2 linked regions of the Arabidopsis thaliana genome follow. The protein of the gene in region 1 interacts with the protein of each later gene in a pairwise test. Each region holds a gene or a part of one and is shown in the gene's direction. Other genes may lie near its edges. The genes, in order: GLR1.3 and RLP19.

What was found.
Region 2: the proteins of GLR1.3 (region 1) and RLP19 interact in a protein complementation assay, tested with the Arabidopsis thaliana proteins (one large-scale study listed by BioGRID).

Annotation. Positions count from the first base shown.
Region 1 is NC_003076.8:19,617,215-19,625,591, forward strand, and holds GLR1.3 (glutamate receptor 1.3), read left to right. Parts: upstream 1-3,052; 5' UTR 3,053-3,101; coding exon 3,102-3,393; intron 3,394-3,485; coding exon 3,486-4,714; intron 4,715-4,796; coding exon 4,797-5,103; intron 5,104-5,201; coding exon 5,202-5,575; coding exon of another isoform or gene 5,576-5,644; exon of another isoform or gene 5,645-5,682; coding exon 5,683-6,063; 3' UTR 6,064-6,211; downstream 6,212-8,377. Other genes in the region: ATGLR1.2 (Glutamate receptor family protein), read left to right, coding at 1-668, 776-1,082, 1,176-1,549, 1,640-2,032.
Region 2 is NC_003071.7:6,529,748-6,538,690, forward strand, and holds RLP19 (receptor like protein 19), read left to right. Parts: upstream 1-3,513; 5' UTR 3,514-4,016; coding exon 4,017-6,968; 3' UTR 6,969-6,972; exon of another isoform or gene 6,973-7,075; 3' UTR 7,076-7,255; downstream 7,256-8,943.

The DNA of each region.
Region 1 (8,377 bases):
GTTTCAAGTCTTATATACCAATGTCAAAAGAGCTTCACAACTTCACTTTGAGATGGAGAAAAACACTCCCTGTTGAAGAAGTTACTGGGAGTGAGATTACTCGGTTGAGTATCTCTGGCGTATGGGCTCATGATGTCGCTTGGAGTCTGGCGAGTGCAGCTGAAGTGACAAGGATGCCAACTGTGACATCAACTCTCCTTGAGGCCATAAAAGAAAGCAGGTTTAAGGGTCTGAGTGGTAACTTTCAGTTGGATGATATGAAGTTGTTATCAGACAAGTTTGAGATTGTGAATATGATAGGATCAGGTGAGAGAAGGGTAGGATTCTGGAATTCTAATGGTAGTTTCAGCAATAGAAGACAATTATCTTCTACTCATGACAATCTGGAGACCATAATTTGGCCCGGTGGGTCTGCTCAAAGTCCGAAAGGGAGAAGTCTAAGAGAGAGCGGTAGAAAAAAGCTTAGGGTTCTTGTTACATCTAGCAATAGATTCCCAAGACTGATGAAAGTGGAGACTGATCCAATAACACATGAGATAACAATTGTCGAAGGGTTCTGTATAGAAGTCTTTCAGGCATCCATTGCACCTTTCAACTATGAAGTGGAGTACATACGTTGGCTCAATGGAACTAACTACACCAAGCTTGCATATGCACTTCATAGCCAGGTACTAAGCATGGCTCGATTTTACAATTGCAAGTACTTTTAAAATTTGCGTAGACTGTGTGTGGGAACTGACTTAATTCCATTGATAATTTTTGTTGCATCCCTTAGAAAGACAAATATGATGCTGCTGTGGGAGATATTACAATTACTTCCGATAGATCGATGTATGTTGATTTTACGTTGCCATACACTGAAATGGGTCTTGGAATTGTAGCAGCAAAGGAGAGAAGTATGTGGGTGTTCTTCCAACCTCTAACACCAAACCTTTGGATAACAAGTGCAGCTTTCTTTGTCTTGACGGGTATTATAGTTTGGTTGATAGAAAGAGCTGAGAACAAAGAGTTCCAAGGATCTTGGCCTCAACAGATTGGAGTTGTGATTTGGTTTGGCTTCTCTACCCTTGTTTATGCTCATCGTAAGTACCTTTTCACATTCTTATATACCAATTTGGCCATAAGAGAAGAGATTGTAGTGATGCTTACCTTTTGTTGCTTACTCTGTGTGACAGGGGAGAAGCTACAACACAACTTATCAAGATTTGTAGTTACAGTTTGGGTATTTGCGGTGCTCATATTGGTTACAAGTTACACTGCAACATTGACATCAATGATGACGGTGCAACAAATACGATTCAACGCCAATGAAGATTATGTGGGTCACCTCTCGGGATCCCTCATCGCAAATGCGGCCCTCACCAATTCCAGCCTCAGAGCAATGAGATTATTGGGTCTCAATACTTCAGAAGATTATGCTCAAGCTTTGATGAATAAAAGTGTCTCATATATTGTTAGTGAGTTGCCATACCTGAAAATCCTCCTTGGCGAGAATCCTGGACATTTTCTCATGGTCAAGACACAATCTACCACCAATGGTTTTGGCTTCGTATGTATCCTTCTTCTGCATCATCAGTTGCTTTACTCTTGATTTTACTTGTTGAAAAAGAAATGTTTGGTTTGTTATACTATGTTCCAGATGTTCCAGAAGGGGTCCGAGTTGGCGCCTAATGTGTCCCGGGAGATTGCGAAGCTGAGGACAAGCGAGAGGCTAAACGAGATGGAGAGAAGATGGTTTGATAAACAGCTTCCATACACAACCGATGATACATCAAATCCTATAACCCTATATAGATTCCGTGGTTTGTTTATGATCACCGGAGTTTCATTCGCTTTCGCTCTTGCAGTACTTCTCATTCTTTGGCTCCGAGAAAGATGGGAAATCCTTGTGAATTCGGTCAATATATACTTCTCACAACGACTTAGACATTTCAGGATCCTCTTCACAAGAACTATCCATCCTAGTCCCCTCGGCCTCGATAACCCCATTGGCGAGAATGCGGTTCAAATGGCTCAACGTAACAGACGATAGGAAATGAGTAACATAGAGAGAAAACAATTGTTGTGATGTGGTACGTCTCTGACTCTGACCTTGGAGCAGCAAAGAAGATCCTCCAGTGATCCACTAGCTCCTGATCCAAGCCGGCTTACGTCTGAAAGTATAAATGATTGTTATACCAATTTTGTAAATTATAGTGTGATCATATTCGCAACCACTTTTGTAAATAGCAAAAAGGTATTGGTAATATATTGAGTTAAAATTTAACACATTTAGTTTGAGTATTTTTTGGAGAATATGATACTTTTGCAAAGAAAAAAATACTTTAATTCTTCATTTTATAAACCTTAAAAAATGTACCAAACTTTAATCAGTATGTAAAAGACTCGTGCATTTCGTTTGTTGGTATTTGTGTTTAATTTCTTCCATCAATTTATTTGAGATGAGACGACTTTCACCATTTTTCTCTGCTTCTAGATTTATATCTTTGACTGTCTAAATTGTCAAATCCCTTACACTAAGTACTTTTGTTGATTTGTTCTTGTCAACACAAGTTAATACAACCCCAACAAATATGGAGTTTTTAACCAAAAAAAAAACAAATATGGAGTTCTACGTGTAAAAATTTCAGATTAAAACACATTTGTTCCTACGACCGTTGACAAATGTTTTTTTTTTTTTAAGACAAATGATTTTTTTCTTTTGCTAAAATTGGTTAGTTGACAAAATTTTATCCTATAGAATCCTTTTCGAATTTATTCCGTATTTTTACCTTTTTACTTTCTTCACCAAACATTTTGATAGATTTAGTCAGATTCTCTTAAATAATGAAATGATTTGAGAGACAAAAGAGTAGCCAAACTCGATAGCCCATACCGAATTTTACGTTGACTAATGTAATTTTTCTTAAAATCATGATGTCATCATCTTAAACTTTGAATTTTTCTTCAAATATAGTACGTATGTTAATTTTTAAAATTGGAATAATTAGACAGATGAAAAACAAAACACGGCATGGGTTTATATAACAACAAAATAAAATAATGACTAAAAGCAGCAAACGTGGGGTTTCTCCTTTCTCTCTAGTTGGAAAGTTTTTTTAATGGAGAGATTTTGTATTCAAACCCAAACTTTGCTATCGTTTCTTCTTGTTTTGCTTCTCTTCATCTCCAGGTCTTTTGCTTCTACTAAAAACGACGACGTTGATGGAGGTAAACGGGTTCAGATCCGGGTCGGGTTGGTTTTGGATTTGGGTTCCTTGAAAGGGAAGATAGTGAAAAACTCTGTTTCCATGGCTCTTTCCTATTTCTACGCTATTCATAATGATTACAAAACAAGAGTCTCTGTTTCACTCAGAAACTCTCATGGAGAGCCTCTTCTTGCTCTTGCTTCTGGTAAAAACACTTCTTCTCTACAAAAACTCTCTTCTTCTCTGTCTCCATTCACACTCACAATCTTGGTTTTCTATCTCTTGTGAATGAAACAGCTGTAGATCTTCTGAAAACTGAAGGAGTAGAAGCGATTATTGGCGGGAACTCGTTGTTAGAAGCGAAGCTTTTAGGGGAACTTGGAGAGAAAGCTAGGGTTCCTATGATTTCACTTGACTCTCCGTTTTCATTGTCATTAAGCAAATACACTCACTTGATCCAAGCCACACATGATTCTACCTCTGAGGCAAAGGGGATTACATCTTTTATTAATGTGTTTGATTGGAACAGTGTTGCTCTTGTTTATGAAGATCATGATGACTGGAGAGAGAGTATGCAACTTTTGGTGGAGCATTTTCATGAGAACGGTGTTCGTGTACAGTCCAAGGTTGGTTTTACTGTCTCTTCTAGTGAGGATTTTGTGATGGGTCGGTTACAGCAGCTGAAGGACTTGGGGACTACTGTCTTTGTTGTTCACTTGTCTGAAGTTATTGCAACTCATTTATTCCCATGTGCTCGGAGATTAGGGTTGATGGGTGATGGGTTTGTTTGGATCCTGACTGCTAAAACTATGAACAGCTTCCATGAGAACATTGATGATTTCACAAAGCAGGCAATGGAAGGTGTGGTTGGTTTCAAGTCTTACATTCCAATGTCTATAGAGCTTCAAAATTTCACTTTGAGATGGAGAAAATCATTGCCTGTTGAAGAAGCGGAGCTAACTCGGTTGAGTATCTCTGGCATATGGGCTCACGATATCGCTTTTGCTCTGGCGAGAGCAGCAGAAGTTATAAGGATGCCAAATGTGACATCAACTCTCCTTGAGGAAATCACAAAGACTAGGTTTAACGGTTTGAGTGGTGATTTCCAACTAAATGATAAGAAGTTGTTATCAAACAAGTTTGAGATTATCAATATGATAGGATCAAGTGAGAGAAGAGTAGGATTCTTGAACTCTAACGGTAGTTTTAGTAATAGAAGACATTTATCTTCTACTCATAACAAGCTTGAGACCATAATCTGGCCAGGTGGGTCTGCTCAAAGTCCGAAAGGGACTAGTCTAATAGATAGCGATAGAAAAAAGCTGAGGGTCTTGGTTACATCTAGCAATAGATTCCCAAGACTGATGAAAGTGGAGACTGATCCAGTAACAAATGAATTAATTGTTGAAGGGTTCTGTATAGAAGTCTTTCGCGCTTCGATTAGTCCTTTCAACTATGAAGTTGAGTATATACCTTGGCTCAATGGAAGTAACTACGACAATCTTGCATATGCACTTCATAGCCAGGTACTAACCATGTCTTACTTAAGTGTTTTATATTATAACAAGTATTTTTTTTTTTTTAATTGTTTTGTGTTGCATCCCACAGAAAGACAAATATGATGCGGCCGTGGGAGATATTACAATCACTTCGAATAGATCGACGTATGTTGACTTTACGTTGCCATTCACTGAAATGGGTCTTGGAATTGTAGCAGTAAAAGAGAGAAGTATGTGGGTGTTCTTCCAACCTTTAACACCAGATCTTTGGATAACAAGTGCATTTTTTTTTGTCTTGACCGGAGTTATAGTTTGGTTGATAGAAAGAGCTGAGAACAAAGAGTTCCAAGGATCTTGGCCACAACAGATTGGAGTTGTGCTTTGGTTTGGCTTCTCTACCCTTGTCTATGCTCATAGTAAGTACTCACCTTTTCACATTTATATATGCCAATCTTGTTCAGAAAAGATTGTAGTGATCATGCTTACCTTTTGCTGCTTATACTATGTGTGACAGGGGAAAAGCTAAAACACAACTTATCAAGATTTGTTGTTACAGTTTGGGTATTTGCAGTGCTCATACTGACTGCAAGTTACACTGCAACATTGACATCAATGATGACGGTACAACAGATACGATTTAACTCCAACGAAGACTACGTGGGTCACCTTTCCGGCTCCCTCATTGCAAATGTGGCTCTCACTAGTTCCAGCCTCCGAGCAATGAGATCATTGGGTCTTAATAGTGCTGCAGATTATGCTCAAGCCTTGTTGAACAAGACTGTTTCATTTGTTGTTGATGAGTTGCCATACCTCAAAGTTGTCCTTGGCGAGAATCCAACACATTTTTTCATGGTCAAGACACAATCTACCACCAACGGTTTCGGCTTTGTATGTATCCTTCTTCTTCATCGTCATAAGCTTCTTTACTCTTTCTTTACTTTTGACTTGCTGACATAAGAACATGTTTGGTTTGTTATTGTTATACTATGTTTTAGATGTTTCAAAAGGGCTTCGAGTTGGTGCCTAATGTGTCCCGAGAAATCTCAAAGCTAAGGACGAGCGAGAAGCTAAATGAGATGGAGAAAAGATGGTTTGATAATCAACTTCCATACACAACCGATGATACATCAAATCCTATTACTCTTTACAGATTCCGCGGTTTGTTTATAATCATCGGTGTTTCATTCGCTTTCGCTCTTGCGGTACTTGTCATTCTCTGTCTCCGCGACAAATGGGAAATTCTTGTGGACAATCTAGACCTCTCACAACGACTTAGACATTTCAGGATCCACTTTGTAAGATCTATACATACTAGTCCCCTTGATGACCCCATTGGCGAAACTGCGGTTCAAATGGCTCAACAAAATAGACAATAGGAACTGATTAGGGTTAGATCAAAAGGTCCACAAACAATCTTTACTTGTAAATGACTTACATATCAAAGTATAAATGCTGTTTAGACCAAATCCTTGCTTGTAAATTGTATGATCAAATTCAAAACCACCTTTATATAGTTGGTTCATATATGATTAGTGTCTTTCAAATGGTATGGTTCTCAAAAAAAAAAAAAAAAACAATTAAGGTGGAACCAACCGAATCAATTTTTTTTTTTTTGTCACAAGAGTGTCCATTTTGTTATATCAACATAAGCCAAAGTTTGAGACAAACAACAGAGCCAAATTCAACTAAACATAAGTGTAAGACTTTTCAAGCCCAACTATGAAGCCCAAGTAGGAAACCGCATCAGGAAGAAAGAAGAATCATTGAAACAGAACCTAAAACACGTGTCATGAAAAGGTTAGGTGCTGAAGACACGTGAGAAGAAGAAGATCGGAGAATCACTGGTCGCCGCCGAAGAAGATTGTCGACTCCATTGAAACCCAGAACGCCGCGATATGCATGTTGAATCCGGTGATAGCAATTGTCAATTCCAAAGCTCTAAAAACAAATCTTCAACTTCATGGAAATTCAACTTCAAAATCTTCCCAATTAAACGTCAACGGTTCACGAACTCAAGCATCATATTCATCAATCTTATGTTGGAGAGAATTGTGTTTAGGCAAAGACGAATCACCTAAAACCACAACACTAACATAGATCGCATAATTTATTCAACAGAAAAAACAAAAAGCGGCAACAGATAGCCGAAACAAAGCCGGACCTCGCCGGAGACAAAGCTGAACCATACCAGAGACAAAACTAGTAAACAAACCGGATGGAGAAACAAAGATCGTGTTCCTCTCTCTGAATAATTGAAGAGAGAGAAGAGAGAGAAATTGATCTTTTCCCCTTCCAACCGAATCAATCTAATATCCGGTTTATTGACATTAGTTCCAAAATCAAAATCAAACCTAGTAAGAAATCCGAAATGCCGGTCAGTTGTGGGCTTTCAGTTTGGGCTGGGCTAATAAAATTAATGAGCCCATAAGCTTTTTCAAAGAGAAGAAAGGAGAAGAGAGAAACCCTAATCTCTATTCTCTCCCAATCTTATATATAATCTCTCTTCTTTCTCTTCTTCTACAACGCCTTTCTCTCATGTCTCTAAATTAGCTACTCTTTCAAAATTTTGCAGCTTAAACGAATCGTAAAGTACTCCTTTGTTGTTTTTTTGGGTCTGTAGTTTTTTTTTTTTTAAAGCAAGTCTCAGCTTCTTTGATTGGGTCAAGATATTCACGATCCAATCAATTTTATGAAAATCATAACTTGCGAAATAGAAATCGGCAGTATCACTCGCCTGGATCTGATTATAATCATGATTATCCAGGCCCTTAATCTACTGGCACAATCTTTTGAAATTAGATTTTGTTGTTGTTGTTTTGGGCAAACGCACTCTGTCCCAAGACCATTAATTCCATGTTTTGGTGCAATTTCTTCGTTTGCTAAATTGATCTGTACTCCAATTTTAATCATGTCCTCGGGATTATTCTCTGTGATCCCTATATGGGCACATGATTGGTTTACTATACTTTGATTCTTTCGATACCAAATAGTTTTACATAAATCGTTTTTTAGGAGTTAGTTTGTTATTTGAATTGATATGTTTATATCTTTGCAGAAGAATAAATCTTATCTGGTGTACGATTTATGTGATACAGTCACCAAGGACGGTAATTGTTTTCGGATTTAGGTTTAATGAACGGCTTAGGATTAAACTTGAAACATCTAATGAATCTTTGAATAGATTATGTGAGAACATGCCTTGAAGAACATTTGATTTTGACCTTTCGAACGAATAACTTATATATCCAAAAAAATTACTCAATTCGTATATCCCGTAATTTCCCAATCTGAAGATTATAACCAAAATCAAGAGGCACGTATCTAAGACTAAATGTGTCATAACTCACTGAAATTGTTGTTGAAGAAGAACAGAAGATACTGATGATGATGGATAAAAAAACAAAAAGAAGATACTAATGATGGAAGTCCTTCAGTTGATGAACATAATACTGAATTATTGATGATGAAAGTCCTTCAATTAGACGTTTGGCTTTCTATCATTTAGGCCCATATATTCCGGGTATGAAGCCGGATCCTATAGCCCGTTGGTATTTGAACGGGTCAAGTACGGATCAGATACTATGACATATTGCCACGGGTTTGGCGCTTTTTAGAAAGATAAGAGATGCATTAGTCGGGACTCGGGCGGTATCTTCGGCGCTATAATTTTAATTGGGCTTTTAATGGGCC
Region 2 (8,943 bases), on another chromosome or scaffold:
TATCTATGAGCTATGTCTCGCTCTTTACTCGTAAGAGTTACTTGTGTAGCTTTATGCAGTGGTCTGCCTTCAAGTACAAGTGAATTACTATCAACACCTTCATTGCGGTTAACGACTTCTGGAACTGATAATGAGTTTTGTAGAAACTTTAAGCAAAAAGCCATACATTCTCCAGCTAAATATCCCTCAGCCATACAAGCTTCAAGCGTTGCAAAATTCTTCACATAAGCCTTTAGAGTTTTCATGTACCTGCAAGTTAATAAGATTAGATCAATATCCAAATTTTATATAAGTAATTAACTTAATAGAAAAAGTTATAGACAATACCTTTCAAAGGGATACATCCATCTAAAGTGGACTGGTCCACCTAAGCGAGCCTCTCTAGCCAAATGAATTGGTAGATGAAACATGATGTCAAAAAGAGATGGAGGAAACTACCTCTCCAGCTGGCACATAGTCTCAACTAATTCATACTCCAATGAGATTAGCTTCTCAGGGTCAATGACCCGCTGACACAGCCTGTTGAAGTAGTGGCCTAATCTACTTATAGCGACTCTAGGTCTTTTTGGCAGCAATCCTCTCAAAGCAACAGGTAACAAGTTCTGAAGGAGCACATGATGATCATGAGACTTCAAACCACCAATGACTGGTGGATCCACAGAAACACAGTTAGAGATATTGGCACAATATCCATCCGGCCCTCTAAACCTAGCCAGCCTTTTGCAGAATCTCTTTTTCTCATCCTTAGATAACCAAAATGCCGCATGAAGTAAGTATGTCCTCTTCCCTCTTAACTGAATGTGCAAGTTACTACGAATTCCCATATCTTCCAAGTTTTTGCGTGCATTCAAGCCATCCTTTGATTTAGCAGATTGCATCAACGTAGACACAATGACGTCAGACACATTCTTCTCCACATGCATCACATCAATGTTGTGACGGACAGGGAGGTCCTACAATACAAACAATAAGTAGTTAGGGCCAATCAAGATAAAATTCAAGATAAAATTCAAAAGGTGAAGTATTTACCTTCCAATAAGGTAATTCAAAAAGAATTGATCGCTTCTTCCATCTCCATTGATGTGTGTCTTCACCATATTCATCATCTTCACATAAATCTGATCTCTTTCTTTTGTTGTTTCTCTCCAAGGGTCTTCCAAAATCATTTTTGAAATCCTATAATGTTTCAAATAGTTCTTCTCCAGTTTGAATTCTACTAGTTTTCCCTTCTTCTACAGTGTTGTCAAACCAGCCTCTTCTACGCCTGTAAGGATGCCCTGGTCTGAGTCGTTTTCTATTGCTTAAATACACATGTTTTCTATTGAACTTCAACCACCTAAAAGGTGTATCTTTCCCACAGACATTACAAGTTTGTTTTCCTTTCACCTTACAACCAGCCAATGTCCCTAAAGTTGGATAGTCATTGATACTCCACAACAACATAGCTCTAAGAGTGAAATTTTCCTTAAAGAATGAGTCATAAACCTGAATACCATCACTCGACAAATCCTTTAAGTCATTTATCAATGGAGCTAGATAGACATCAATGTTATTGCTTGGTGCTTTAGGTCCATGTATCAAAAGAGTTAACATAATATTTTTTGCCTTCATACACATTGTTGGAGCCATGTTGTAGTTAACTAGCAAAACTGGCCAGGTACTATACTTAGTGTTCTGAATAGAGAACGGATTCATCTTATCAGTTGAAAGTCCCAGTCTAAGGTTTCTTGATTCAGCAGCAAACTGTGGCCATTTATCATTCACTTGAGCCCAAGCTAAAGAGTCTATTGGATGTCGCATTGTACCATCAACACTAGCATTGCTAAAATGCCACTGTAAGTCCTCAACCATTTTCTTGGATCTAAACATTCGCTTGAATCTATCTTTGATGGAAAAATACCAAAGTACCTTAGCTGGAATCCCCTTCTTCTCTTCACCAGTGTGTTTATCCCTTTTCCATCTGGAAGCACTGCATCCAAGACAAGTATCCCTCAGCTCATACTCCTTTTTGTATAAGATGCAATCATTCGGACATGCGTGAATGATATCATACCCAAAACCAAACATCTTCAAGAATTTTTTGATTTCATTTGTTGAAGTTGGAAGCACATTCTCTCCTGGTAAGATGTCGTGCACTAAACTCAAAAGTTGATCAAAGTAATTTTCTGACATCCCACTCTTTACTTTAATGCGGTAAAGCCCCATAATTGCAGACACCTTTGTGTACTTGGGACACCCATAATATAATGGAGTTTCAACATCCTTCAACTTCTCTCTAAAGTAAGATTCTTCTTTTGTAACTGGCTCCTTACTATCCTCTTCTCCATCAAAATAAGCTGTTCTTATCAGCTCATAAGCTCCAAATTCACTACTAGGCTCAGCTTCTAACTTATCAGCCCATATCTCCCCATGCTTACTCCAACATCCATTTCTCTTGTATTTATGATTCATTCCCTTAATAACTAGATGCTCCAAAACAGTATCAATTGGTTGATGACACAGATTCCAGCAATCCATACATGGACAAAACATTTCAGAAGGATCTCCCAAAAGTCTCGATGCGTAAACAAAAGTTGTTGCTCCTTTCTCGTACTCAATGCTATTCCTTGGCAGCTATACCCAAGTCTTATCCATTTTTAAAACACCAACAAGCTCCAACCCCATATATATGATAATATTTATATATATATTAGTTAACAGAGATACAAGATCAAAGACACAAAGAGAAATTTCAAAAACTCAAATTCACTACAAGTGAATGCAAGCTATCAAAGCTATATGAAACTCAATTCTATAATAAACTCAAAGCTACATGCAAACTAAGAACCACATAAATAAACTCAATTCGATACAAGTGAATCACATAAATAGTCAAGTTCAATTCGATACAAGTGAATAGTCACAAAAATAGTCAAGTTCTAATCGATACAAGTGAATACAAGCTATCAAAGCTGTTTGAAACTCAATTCGATACAAATGAATGCTCACTATCAAAGCTATATGAAACTCAATTCGATACATGAGAATAGTATAAGTTCAAAGCTATATGAAACTCAAAATTGGTATATGAACCACATAAATCGATCTCAAATAAACATACATGTCAAAAAGAAGCCATTGAAATCTTCGAGAAACGGATAGCGAAAGCCCCAATTCGAAACCCGTAAATCTCAGAAACCCGAAAATCAAACCCTAAATGTGATTAAAACCCCAAATCGAAACTCAAACAAGACAAATTTCACAATGCAAACCCTAAATCGATTACAAAAGAAACATAACCTTCTCAAATTAGAACCAGATCTGTGACTGAGAAGCTGAAGAGTACCAACCTGAAGAGTCCATAAAATTTGATGTTTTGGGTTTTTCACACAAATTAAAAAAAGTAACTTTTGTATTATTTATATTATTTTTTTTGTAAATTTAATATCATAAGTTTTACTTCTCTCCACTCTATTTGTTATTATTAAAAATAATAATAATATTAACTTACATCAATTTTTATGGAACAAAAAAAAAAAAACCAAAATATCAAATTTTATGGAACAGAAGGAGTAGTTAATAATAATGTCGATCGGACTATCCCTGTCTTGTTTTAATGCTACAAGGACCTTTGGAAAAATAAAATGTGGTAGAGATTTCAGATGGCTCTTTGATATGGTGGAAATTTCAAATGGCTCTTTAATGTGGTGGAGATTTAAGATAGCTCTTTAACTTAATGTGATGAAAAATATAATATTTGGATCATTATACCACCAAAGTCCACACACGAGTTCTCTATTTTTGTTTCATCCTCTTTTAGTCGCTGGTTTGGCCTCAATGAATAATGTAGTGGAGACTTTTACACAATGCGTACAACGTGAAGAAGACTTGGTAGAAATACTGGTTTAATTTATCTCTATTTTGTATATAAAGACATGAATATGAAACCATGTTATCATCACAATCTCCTTTTCTTGCTTTTTCATTATTGATATTCAAGAAACTAAGAAAAAGAAGAAAAACAACACTTCGAAAAAATGATGAAAGGCTATATTACTCTTTCTTTTCTTATCATTCTCATTTTTAATTTCCTTGACGAGTTTGCGGCTTCTACTAGACACTTGTGTGATCCTGATCAAAGTGATGCAATTCTCGAATTCAAGAACGAGTTTGAGACTTTGGAGGAATCTTGTTTTGACAGCAATATTCCTCTGAAGACGGAGTCATGGACGAATAACAGTGATTGTTGTTATTGGGATGGTATCAAATGTGATGCCAAGTTCGGGGATGTGATCGAGCTAGATCTTAGCTTTAGTTGCCTCCGTGGCCAGCTCAATTCCAATAGTAGTCTTTTTAGGCTTCCACAACTTCGTTTTCTAACCACTCTTGACCTTTCTAATAATGATTTTATTGGTCAAATCCCATCTTCACTTGAAACCCTCTCTAATCTCACCACTCTAGACCTTTCTAGAAATCATTTCAGTGGTAGAATTCCTTCTTCGATTGGAAACCTTTCTCATCTCATATTTGTTGACTTCTCTCATAACAATTTTAGTGGTCAAATCCCATCTTCACTTGGATATCTTTCGCATCTCACCTCTTTTAACCTTTCTTATAACAATTTTAGTGGTAGGGTTCCTTCTTCAATTGGAAATCTCTCTTATCTCACCACTTTGCGCCTCTCTCGTAATAGTTTTTTTGGTGAACTTCCATCTTCACTTGGAAGTCTTTTCCATCTCACCGATTTGATCCTCGATACTAACCATTTTGTTGGTAAAATTCCGTCTTCACTTGGAAATCTTTCGCATCTCACCTCTATCGACCTCCACAAAAATAATTTTGTTGGCGAAATACCATTTTCACTTGGAAATCTTTCTTGTCTCACCTCTTTTATCCTCTCTGATAACAACATTGTTGGTGAAATTCCATCTTCTTTTGGCAATTTGAACCAGTTGGACATCTTAAATGTTAAGTCCAATAAGCTTAGTGGCAGCTTCCCAATTGCACTACTAAATCTAAGAAAACTGTCAACATTATCTCTCTTTAACAATCGGTTAACCGGAACACTTCCTTCTAACATGAGTTCACTCTCCAACTTGAAGTTGTTTGACGCAACGGAAAACCATTTCACGGGACCTCTCCCTTCTTCCCTTTTCAACATTCCCTCTTTGAAAACTATTACTTTGGAAAATAACCAACTTAACGGTAGTCTTGGGTTTGGGAATATATCCTCATACTCGAATTTAACTGTGTTACGCCTTGGGAATAACAACTTTAGAGGGCCAATCCATAGATCTATATCCAAATTAGTCAACCTTAAGGAACTTGACCTTTCAAACTACAACACCCAAGGGTTAGTTGACTTTACCATCTTCTCGCATCTCAAGTCTATCGAATACCTTAACCTCTCCCATTTGAACACCACTACTACGATTGACATGTACGAGATCTTATCAAGTTTCAAGTTATTGGATACACTAGATCTCTCAGGCAGCCATGTTTCTACTACAAACAAGAGTTCACTTTCTAATTCTTCATTGGTATTGATAAGTCAGTTGTACTTGTCGGGATGCGGTATCACCGAGTTTCCAAAGTTCCTAAGATCCCAAGAGCTTATGCTGACTCTAGACATTTCCAACAACAAGATCAAAGGTCAAGTGCCTGGATGGTTATGGATGCTCCCTGTTTTGAACTACGTGAATCTTTCCAACAACACTTTCATCGGTTTCGAAAGATCAACGAAACTTGGACTCACCTCTATCCAAGAACCACCAGCTATGAGGCAATTGTTTTGCTCCAACAACAATTTCACGGGAAACATTCCATCTTTCATATGTGAGTTGCCTTATCTCAGCACTCTCGATTTTTCTAACAACAAATTCAATGGTTCAATTCCTACTTGTATGGGAAATATTCAGTCTCCATATCTTCAAGCTCTAAATCTTCGACATAATCGTCTTAGTGGACTTCTTCCAGAGAATATATTTGAGAGTCTAATTTCTCTTGACGTCGGCCATAACCAACTAGTGGGAAAGCTTCCAAGATCGTTAAGTCATATCTCTTCCCTTGGACTTCTGAATGTGGAGAGCAACAAAATCAGTGATACGTTTCCTTTATGGTTGAGTTCTCTACAAGAGCTACAAGTTCTTGTCCTTCGCTCCAATGCATTTTATGGACCAATAGAGAAAACACAGTTTTCTAAGCTGCGAATCATTGACATATCCGGTAATCAATTCAATGGTACGTTGCCAGCAAATTTCTTTGTCAACTGGACTGCAATGTTTTCACTGGACGAAAATGAAGATCAATCTAACGGAGAGACCATGAGCAACATGTACATGAGTACAGATTATTTCTACTTTGATTCAATGGTTTTGATGAATAAAGGAGTAGAGATGGAGCTGGAACGTGTCCTAAAAGTCTTCACAGTGATTGACTTTTCGGGAAACAAATTTGAAGGAGAGATTCCAAAGTCCATTGGTTTATTGAAAGAGCTTCATGTTCTTAACTTATCAAACAATGCTTTAAGTGGCCACATCGCATCATCTATGGGGAACCTCATGGCACTTGAGTCACTGGACGTTTCCCAAAACAAGCTTTCAGGAGAAATTCCACAAGAGTTAGGGAAACTCACGTACCTTGCATACATGAACTTCTCTCATAACCAGCTGGTAGGTCTATTACCAGGAGGTACTCAATTTCAAACACAGAAGTGCTCTTCTTTCGAGGACAATCATGGCCTTTATGGCCCTTCGCTTGAGAAAATTTGTGATATCCATGGGAAAACACCGCAACAATCTGACATGGCGCCAGAGCCAGAAGAAGATGAAGAAGAGGTGATAAGTTGGATAGCAGCTGTTATAGGATTCATACTTGGTACTGCCTTGGGATTGACATTTGGATGCATATTGTTTTCCTACAAACCAGATTGGTTCAAGAATCCTTTCGTCCGAGACAAACGCAGAAACATAGGCACCATAACTCATTAGAGAGGTAATGATCTTGATTTTGAAAGAATAAAGACTATATATTGTACTAAAATTTTCTGGATATATGAACTAACGTATAATCTTTCTTTGTTATTCTTTGACCCAAGTTGGAGAATTTTACACGAAGTAAACAAAGGAACAAAACCGGAAGAAACTTGGGAGGAAAGCAATCTAATTTTAAATAATCATTTTTTCTGTCTCCTCCTCCCCCCCCATTGTTATGTCTATGTCCATTTTTAAATACAATGTAAAAATGAATAGTATCATAAAAAAATTGTTGAATACAATATAATTTGTACTTGTTTTTTTTTTTTTTTCGCATGTCTACTTACAAAACCAAAACTGAATTTAAAACTTCAATTAACTAATTTTTATAAATATAGTTGTGAAATAAACGGGCATACTCCGGATTCTCTGCTAGTAGTTCTAAAAGAAAACTAAAAAGCTAGTGTAATCCTCCTTTGAAGCCTAACTATAGAAGAAAAAAAAAGTAAATTAAAGCTAAGGAAATAGGTCTAGTTATACAAATATATATATATATATATATATATATATGTATATATATTTTAAAAGGTTGAAGATCCCTAAGGAAGAAAAGAATGAAAATAGAAAATTGAAGAGAAATTAATCCAAAAGATAATTTGGTTAATAAGAGCCATTTGAGAGTGCTAAGTTGAAATTTTGGTAATTCTTAGGATGCTTCATTATTGGAAGGGACAATAGGCAAACTTGATCTAGGAAGGAGAGAACATGAAAATGTGACCATTGTATGCATAAATTGTACCGCGGTCTTCAGCTATTTTGCATAATGTCAAGAATACTTTTTCTTAAGATCCAAGAGCCATCTTTCTCACCTCTAGACCACTCTCTATCTTTGACCCAATAAATTTGTGGTTTATACATCCAGTATGATTTCACAAGAATACCTAGCTAATTGAATGACAAGGAGTTTGTATACATGGATCTCTAAGTTGAGTGGAAAATGAAATTGTGGTAAATGTGAATAAATTGGTTCTTGCATTATATTACTATTTTGATTTCTTTTTTGGTTATAAGATCCTCTTTCAAACCTTTTCTCTTGGGTGTTTTGTTTGTTTGAGGACAAGCAAAAGACAAGTTCTTGGGAATTGATATGATGATATTTTGGTGTTCTTAAACTCCTTTTCTTGATAGTTTTTGGGTCTTAATTCATTATGATCACTTGTAAAAATGCATTTAACATGTAGTTTAAGGTAATTTTGCATTCAGAGTCCTAGAATTCACTTGGTGTTTATTTAGGTACAAAAGAAGGCAAATGGATCTAAAGAGACAAAAGGACGTTTTGGATCACAAAATATTTGGCTTGAATCATATTGGGTTTAAAGAATTGCTAGAAGATTTATGAGAAGTGCCGAGCAAAGCTCAACCATTTGAAAAACCACTTGGATTATATTTTGTTCTTAGGGTTAGTAATTAAGGAATATATCATCAGGGTTGGATTTGTGGCTAGGATTTGATTGGAAATTACCAAATTATGCTTTTGCACTAAAACATTTTATGTCGTCATCTGTTCCAAACTATTGACCATATTATGGATAGGTGATGTCATATTCATCTCAAGCACCTCCTTAATTTTGTACTTCAACAGGTATTCAGGTAATAATGTTTTGAATGTTAAAGCATCTGAGTTCCCCGACTTTTCTACACAACTAATTCTTGGTGGCATGCGTATTATTGGTTGTGTGTTTGTTTAATGGGTGTGGTTATTAAACTACTTTTTATTCCAATCCTTATAAAAAAGAACGATACCTCGTTTTTAAAATCTATAACCCTACCCATTCTTTCAGAAACAAGGTATTGTTGTTCACCTCCTTTTATTTCAGCCAATCAAAATATGTTATCTAATAAATAAATAAAGAAATTTAAACTCTAACCATTCTTTTTTAAACTCAAGTCGATATATATTCTTGTTTAATTATAAAATCTAAACCCTAAT